Linked DNA regions of Cricetulus griseus. The protein of the gene in region 2 interacts with the protein of the main gene of each other region in a biochemical or structural test. Links are inferred from orthologs where the notes say so. Each region holds a gene or a part of one and is shown on either strand. Other genes may lie near its edges.

Evidence for each region. The genes of interacting proteins can lie anywhere in the genome.
Region 1: of the proteins of Mib2 (region 2) and Cyld, one has a biochemical effect on the other in vitro, tested with the Homo sapiens proteins (2 studies listed by BioGRID, with this or other methods). The link is inferred for Cricetulus griseus from reciprocal best matches to the Homo sapiens genes MIB2 and CYLD.

Annotation. Positions count from the first base shown.
Region 1 is NC_048596.1:164,355,799-164,359,298, reverse strand, and holds part of Cyld (ubiquitin carboxyl-terminal hydrolase CYLD), read right to left. Parts: intron 2,673-3,500; coding exon 2,293-2,672; intron 1,448-2,292; coding exon 1,282-1,447; intron 508-1,281; coding exon 366-507; intron 1-365. UniProt on the Homo sapiens protein: Deubiquitinase that specifically cleaves 'Lys-63'- and linear 'Met-1'-linked polyubiquitin chains and is involved in NF-kappa-B activation and TNF-alpha-induced necroptosis.
Region 2 is NC_048595.1:604,017-608,131, forward strand, and holds the start of Mib2 (E3 ubiquitin-protein ligase MIB2), read left to right. Parts: upstream 1-1,315; 5' UTR 1,316-1,517; exon of another isoform or gene 1,518-1,726; intron 1,727-1,839; 5' UTR 1,840-1,960; intron 1,961-3,291; 5' UTR 3,292-3,447; intron 3,448-4,115. UniProt on the Homo sapiens protein: E3 ubiquitin-protein ligase that mediates ubiquitination of Delta receptors, which act as ligands of Notch proteins.

The DNA.
Region 1 (3,500 bases), on a different chromosome or scaffold from region 2:
AATATAAAGAATTTTCAGTATACTAAAACACACACACAGCATACAATGCCAATAGCTTACTGCAGGTTAGTTAGCACATGTGCAATCATACTACATTGGAGACAGATGTCTTCAGGGTATCTGTTCACAGGGATCACTGCTTCTACTCATTATTCATTGCAATATTTTTATGTTACTGTTTTGGATCTAAGAATAGTACATGAAATTCTTTAGCTACAAAGGACCAAATCTCATGGTCTTTCTTAACGCCATCAGTTTCTCTACTCAAAGGCATTTGACACCTCCTTTCACATACACACACATCTACCTGTCTCCCCTCCCTCCCACAGCACTATCTTTACCCACTACAGAAAGTAGGAACTCACCAGAATAAAGTTGAGTCTAAATAACAAGAATTGTAATGGCCCTGGATACCTTTCTTCTTTCCAATCATAATCTCTAAACCTTCCTTTTCCATTTTTGGTGGAGTATTTTCTTCTACTACTTCACTTAAGTAGCCTCCAAATGCTGAAAAGATAAAAAATGAAAATAACTCTTTGAAACCATAATAGCATATATTCATACACATGTGCATATGTATATCATTTAAAGTATATTTTGGCATCCTCCTACAATTTTTTTTTACTTTAATTAACTGTTATTTATCTGGGCTTATTTAAAAAATGTTATTATTCACTTTTAACACCACTCCCTTCATATAGAATTTAGAAAATTAAGTCAATTAAGCACCTATCAAATAAATATTTTGTTACTTGTCCAAAATGTTTCATTTTCAAACATAACATTAAAAAATGTTTTTCATAAAGATGGTTTCCCTACTTTCCCCTGCTTGACTCTCACTATTGTTCAGAACAAGCTGGTGACAAGTGATGAGAAAAACTGTCCTCCATCTGCCAAGCTGACTGCATCTCCAGACTGTATCAGACTTCTTCATAGGATACCCTGAGTGACTTACTTAAATAAGATGGTGAGGGGGAAGTTAATGCTAAAAGGGCCACATTTTCATTTCTACCACCCATGACAAAAATTAAATGTTTATAATCAATAGAGAGAAAAAAACACTACTTTTCACTCTTTAGATCCTAAACACTTTTCCTGACTCTTTTTCAATGTATCTTCTCTTAGGACAGTTTCCTTATGCACCAAGTAACAATCTTTACTAACTCAGAAACTTGATGAACATTGGAAACTAAATCATTTAAACCCTATCACCCTCAGTTACTGAAAGGCAGCATGAAACAGTCATTCCGGATGGGTAATAAATTAAAAGTATCCAAGTACCTAAAGAATTACACCTTTCAATCTGATTAGAAACAGGCTGCAAGGACGCAAACCTAGAGTCGGGTCTGCAGCTCTTCAGTTTTACGAACAGCGCCTTCTTCAGGGCGCAGGTGAAGTAGCGAGTGCCCCTGAAAGTTCCGTCCGTACAGCCTGCACATTCATCTTCCTGAAAAAGAAAGGCTTTGGTATATGTTACACAGCACCTCGCAAAAAAAAAAAAGCAGGGAAGAACTATGGAATTTTCACTTTTTCTGAATTCAAATCTGTACTGACTACAACAGTACCAACGAACAGGGACTGACTAACTGTTGCTTTGGCCCCTAGCTAGTAGCTTAAAAAAACAACTCTTCAGCCCACCAGGAAGTACTTGATACATTGTCTTTCAAAATATACGCTCAGAATTGTCCAGGTTTACTGGCTTTCCCTGAGCCATTCATTCCAAAAGTATTAAAACCAAGCGGCAGGAGTAGATAAATTACCTAGTTCCTCGACAGCAAGAAAACAAGTGAAAAAAATTAAAAACCATACATAGTTAGGTAATACCTAAGTTTATTCAAGTTCTCCCTTCTGGTTATGAAATATCATACTATATGCTTTTCTAATATCCAAAGATAAAACCTTCCCCTCTCCCAAAGACCTCCAAACATGATGATTAATAAAGTCAATAACGTCCCTACACTGACTGCAATGGGAAGAGGCTAATGAATAAGAAGAAAAGCTGGTAACAGAATTGCTTTCTTTGCTGCATTCTGTTTATATGTGGAGGCTAAATATTCTAGCCTAAAAAATATCAATCTATTCCTTGATCTTAGAGAAACAAACATGAGGAATAAGTGAACCAGAAGCTTGAGGAACGGCAAAGGGTGAAGCTAGGCAATACTATAAGAAACTACTGGCTTTTTTTTTTTTTTTGACAAATAAAACAATTTCCCAAGAAATTATCTAATAGGGGAGAACCTAGACAAAAATCCCATGCAGAAAAGATGTAGACTTTAGACCAAAACAAATTACCAGTTCCAGTCCAGCTAGCACGTCACTGAGCCCTGGTGGCTGGCCAATCCAACGGATAACCCCATAGAATGGGGGGTTCTCTTTCACTTCAGCCAGTGAGCCCACCTCTAGACCGTGTGCATTACCAGAAGAGATGGGCAAGGGTGGACTCTCCTGGACAGGTGTGCTGTTCAGCTCCCCCATCACAGACTGCACTGACAATGACAGTGGACTATGAGCAATGCTGCCATTGGTATTGGGCATCTTTGTCAGGCTGAAGGGTAAAGAGTGAAATCTGTTCTCGCTGGATAAGGAGTTCATGGAAGGAGGTTGTGGTGGTGATGATGAATGTCCAAAGTCTGGAGACAGCTCTGTAAGTGACTTTGCAGGGTCTTCTGCAACTATGAAAAATTGTCCTTAATTAGAAAAGGTTGTTCATGAACATTAAATATGCCTGCCTCTCTAAAAACAGTACAAAGTTCTCTTCTAACTGACCACATGATCCTTTTGCAAGTCTGCTCACAAGTACTGTAAACTCACTGGCTCTGAATAATGCTCTTGTTTCTCTCTTTATCTCCAAGTTTTTCTGATGGGGATGTCTTCTGTATATGTTTGTCTTATTGGTTGATGAATAAAGCACTGTTGGTCAATAGGGAAGCAAGACAGGTAGGACTAGGAGATGAGGAGGATTCTGGGAAATGTAGGCAGAGTGAGTCACAGGAGTAACAGGTCCGGACTTGTTTTCCAGTAAGAGAAGACCATGTAGATATACATACATTAGTAGTTTTGGGTTAATAATTAAGACAGAATTAGCCAATAAGAAGCCCTTGTCACTGGCCAACAGTATTCATAACTAATACAGCGTCCAAATGTTTATTTAGGGCTCTGAGGCTGCTGCAGAACTGGGTGGGAAATCCCATAACATTTTTCCACATCAGTAATCCGGCACCCAATTGCTCATCTATGTCTGGTCAATGTCACATAGGTTATAGTCTTTGCCCATAATATGACTAAGTTAGAAATTAGTATGAACAGATACAAAAAAATTAACTAACAATTCTAAATAGAAAGAAAAAAAGTTTTAGAAATCAAGAGAAAAGAAACCAAAGAATAAAGAACATCTGTGGAATAAGTAATGTTTTTAAAAGAAAATTACTGACAGCTTATTTTAGAAAAAAAGCTAGATATTAATTAACTCACATACAGCTTGATATATCAGAAAGGCAGAA
Region 2 (4,115 bases):
GTAGAGGCAGGTGAATCTTTGTGAGTTCCAGGCTAGCCTGGATGACACACAAAGTTCAGGTCAGCCAGAGCTATTTAGTAAGACCCAATCTCAAAAACCAACTAGCTTCCCAACCCACCACCCACTCAAACAAACTATAAAGCCGATGACATGAGATAAACCAAGCCCCGAACTAGGAGGGTGACTCTTGGCCAGAAACCCCAGCACTTGAAATTGAAAGGCTTAGAGATGAGTGTTCAAGGTCAACCTGGGCAACAGTAAGTCTCAAAATAAAGGAGGCCAGTGAAATGGCTTACCAGGAGCATCTGACCCCACAAAAATTAAAAAAAAAAAAAAGAAAAAAAGCAAGACTGTGCAGGAATGGACTGGGGCCATGTGTGGTAGTGCAGAGCAGGGCATAAACCTGGTCAGTAAGCTGTGTGAAGGGACAGGACAAGTACGGAGGTAACTTGCCCATGGGTGCAAGGCGTGGGAAGAGAGTCGTTGGAGAACCAAGTTATGGCCTGAAGACTCCACAGAACTGTCTAAGATACGTAAACAGTATACGGTTTATACTGTTTATAACACAAAGGCCTGGATGGTTGCTTTTTATCTGTAGGTCCGAGGAACTAAAATCAGTAGAGGGTGGAGGTGGGGTGCTCAGTTGATCCGAGTTGACCTCTTCGCCCCAGATCCGCAGGAAAACAAACAAATTACATCAAATTAAGTCGTGCCGGGTGTGGCGGTGCATGGCTTTAATTTCAGCACGCAGGAGGCAGAGGCAGGTGAGACTCTTGAGTATGAGATCAGCCTGGTCAAGCAGTGCTACACAGTGAGACCTTGCCTCAAAACAAAACAAAACGAAACAAACCACCAAAAAATTAATCCAAAAGTTAGTTTAAATGCGTCTTCGTCATGTCTCTGGAAGCCCCGCCCATCCGAGACAAGACGTCACTCTAAACCTCTGTCTCCAAGGCAACGGAAAGCGTCCTGGGAACGTGTGCTGCGCAGGAGACCCGTGCCACTGGGGCTCCGCCCAGACGTACTTCCGGGAGCGACTTTGCACGCCCAGCCTTCTCAGTACCCCCTCTTTCCGACCCTTTCTCTCCCCAAATGCGTCCCTATTTGCCGGGACTCGGGCATTTCCAGCTTCTTCTTTAGACAAGCCGAGGTCCCGCCAGCCATAGACACCGCGCCTGTCAGTCCGTTTGCAGCCTGACCAAACGCATACGCAACGCGAATGGTCTCCGGGGACCTGTGCTCCCGCCTCCCAGCCCCAAGCACTTTGCGTCAAGCGCAGGGCCTCCTGGGAGCTGTCTGCCCCGCCCCCAGGCCAAGCGCCGCAAACTACAGCTCCCGACAGTCTGTGCGGCGGCCGGGGACTGTAGTCGGGGGCCGCGGTGGGGCAGCCGGGTGGGCTGGAGCGGGAGAGGCGGCCTTGACAGGCGCCGTTGAGGGACGGAGGACATCGAGGTGCAGCTGGCGACTCGGTGTCGACCCGAGGATCCGCTGTCAGCATCTGCGCTGCTCAGGGTCCGGTATTCTAGGGCCGAACGGGCGCGGAAACTCCGGGCAAGTGGGGGGCCGGGTCGGGCGTCCTCCCAGCGCCGGGGGCATTGGCACGGGGCCGAGAGGCCCAGATCAGCTTGACCCGGCTGTGACTTGCGCAGCCGTCCACGGCCCTTGCGTGCAGAAGGCTTAAGGTTCTTCGCCCGTGGACACAGCTCGTGCCCGGTGCGCGTTCTCGGTGCGTGGTGGTGATGCAGCGGGTCCCAGCCGCCAGACCCCTGGGAGCCTTTTAAAGCGAGCGGCGGTCTCAGTCCTTTCTCAGGTGTTAACTGTGCGCACCCCTGACCACAGGGTTGGATCAACGGGGGCTCTCACGGAAGGTCAGGCCGGCGGAAGCCAGTCCCAATTCTCCCAGCATCAGGGTTTCTGCCGGATTCTCAAGGCGGGTGGGGGACTCTGAACCTCCCGACAGGTGAGCTCTTGGCGGCTGTGGCCTGACAGTTTGGGTTTGGTTCGTTCCCCTTGTGGATGCCATTCGATGTTATGTCAAGGGTTTGTGTTTGTGTCTAAATGTGCTTGACTGGATCGGGCAGTGAGAAATCGTCCTTCCTGCCTCCTCCGGGTTCAGAACCAATGAGGAAAGCAGAGGTGCCAGGAAGGCTCCTGATGAGGCAGCAGGCTTGGGGACAGAGCAAGGTTGGCCGTTTAGAGAAGGCCAACGTTCTTCTCTGGCCTGTTGCTTCTGATGCAACAAGTATCTGAATGTCATTCCCCCACCCAAGGTCAGCTCTAAGCAGCGTGGTGAACCCCAAGCTGCAGTGTACCTGGATCCCTCCAGCTAGGTGACCAAGATTAGCAGTCATGGTACCCCTGAACCTTAATGGATGTTCCTCAGCAGATGTCTGGATGCAGGGCGGAACTGATTTCCTGGCCTCTGTTTCTTAGGTTGACATTCTTTGTTTGATTCTACTGGCAGCTAGAATGTTCACCTGCCTAGTAGGAGCCTCTGATGCACCAGGGTTTTTTGTTTGTTTGTTTGTTTGTTTGTTTGTTTGTTTTTCTGGAGACAGGGTTTCTTTTCGAAACAGTCCTGGCTATCCTGGAACTCACACTGTAGACCAGGCTGGCCTCAAACTCAGACACCCCTGCCTCTGCTTCCCAAGTGCTGGGATTAAAGGCAAGTGCCACAATGGTCCAACTTGATTCGCCAGTTTTTGCAACACATTTTCAATTCAGCAGTGTCTCAGGCACAACCATAGGTGGTCTATATCATCTGAATAAACGCAATTTATTAACTTTCACAATAAACATGATTTAATTTTTCCCAATCAAATATTCACTTAATAAGGGACAGCATCCTACACAGACCTGATACTTCTGACTTATGGGAGATGTTCCATTCTTTCTCGGCGAGGTGTTCCATACATGCCTTTTTATTTAAAGATTTTATTTATTTATTATGTGTACAACATTCTGCTTCCATATATCATAACAGATGGTTGTGAGCTACCATGTGCTTGCTGGGAATTGAACTCAGGACCTCTGGAAGAGCAGCCACTGCTCTTAACCTCTGAGCCATCTCTCCAGGCTCCATACATCCTTTTAATCCCAACACTTGAAAAGTAATTCCAGGCCAGCCTGGACTACATAATGAGTTCCAGGCCAGCCAGGGATACATTTTTTTAAAAAAGTTTGTTTCTTAAAGAAAGGAACACTAGTAGCGGCAGCAGTCCCAATTATCACTGTCTGGTCATGGTAGTAAATATTGTATGTAAAACTGTCTCTAAAATGATCTTTCCACAGCCTGGTTCCCTGTCTACCTGCTTGGTTTGCTGTGCTCTATATTGGCAATGGCTGCTGGTTTTCCACAGGAAGTTTTGGCAGCTGGGAAAATTTGTGGCCCAGGAAGTAGCAACTAAATGCTTGGGATGCTGACTAGAGGCTTCTGTGTGTTCTAAGGTGAGTTCTGCTTCTGCTGTAGCATATTTGCCAAGCTAGTCCTCATACTCTGACATCCTCCACTATAACTGTAAATATCTATAGCAACAGGCTCCAGGGGTGTTTTGGATACTTACCATCAACGTGGTTCTGTCTGATGGCAGAGCCCAGTATTTCTGACAAAGGCAAAATTTCCTACTATGATGGTAGCACCCATAACACATTGTGGTTTTCAGCATCCTGAAGAATGATGTATATCACAGTTTGGTGATTTATTTTTTAATTTTGGTTTTTAAAGATAGGGTTTCTCTGTGTAGCTGGGCTCCAACTCACAGAGATCTGCCTGCCTCTGCCTTCCAAGTGCTGGGACTAAAGACATGCGCCACCACCGACCTGCTGAGTTTGGTGATATTTAATATGGATTTGAAAGTAAAGTTGTTTGTACACCTGGATTTTTTTGAGATAGGATTCTCTGTAGCTTTGGAGCCTATCCTAGAACTTGCTCTGTAGACCAGACTGGCCTTGAACTCACAGAGATCCACCTGCCTCTGCCTCCCAAGCACTGGTAATTAAAGGTGGGCAGCACCACTGCCCAGCTGTACATCTGGACTTCAGTGGTTATTAGACTGTCCTGGGCTATATTAGGCTAAGTCTTAGGATAGTGTTTTCAGACCCTAGGTCCTCTCCAC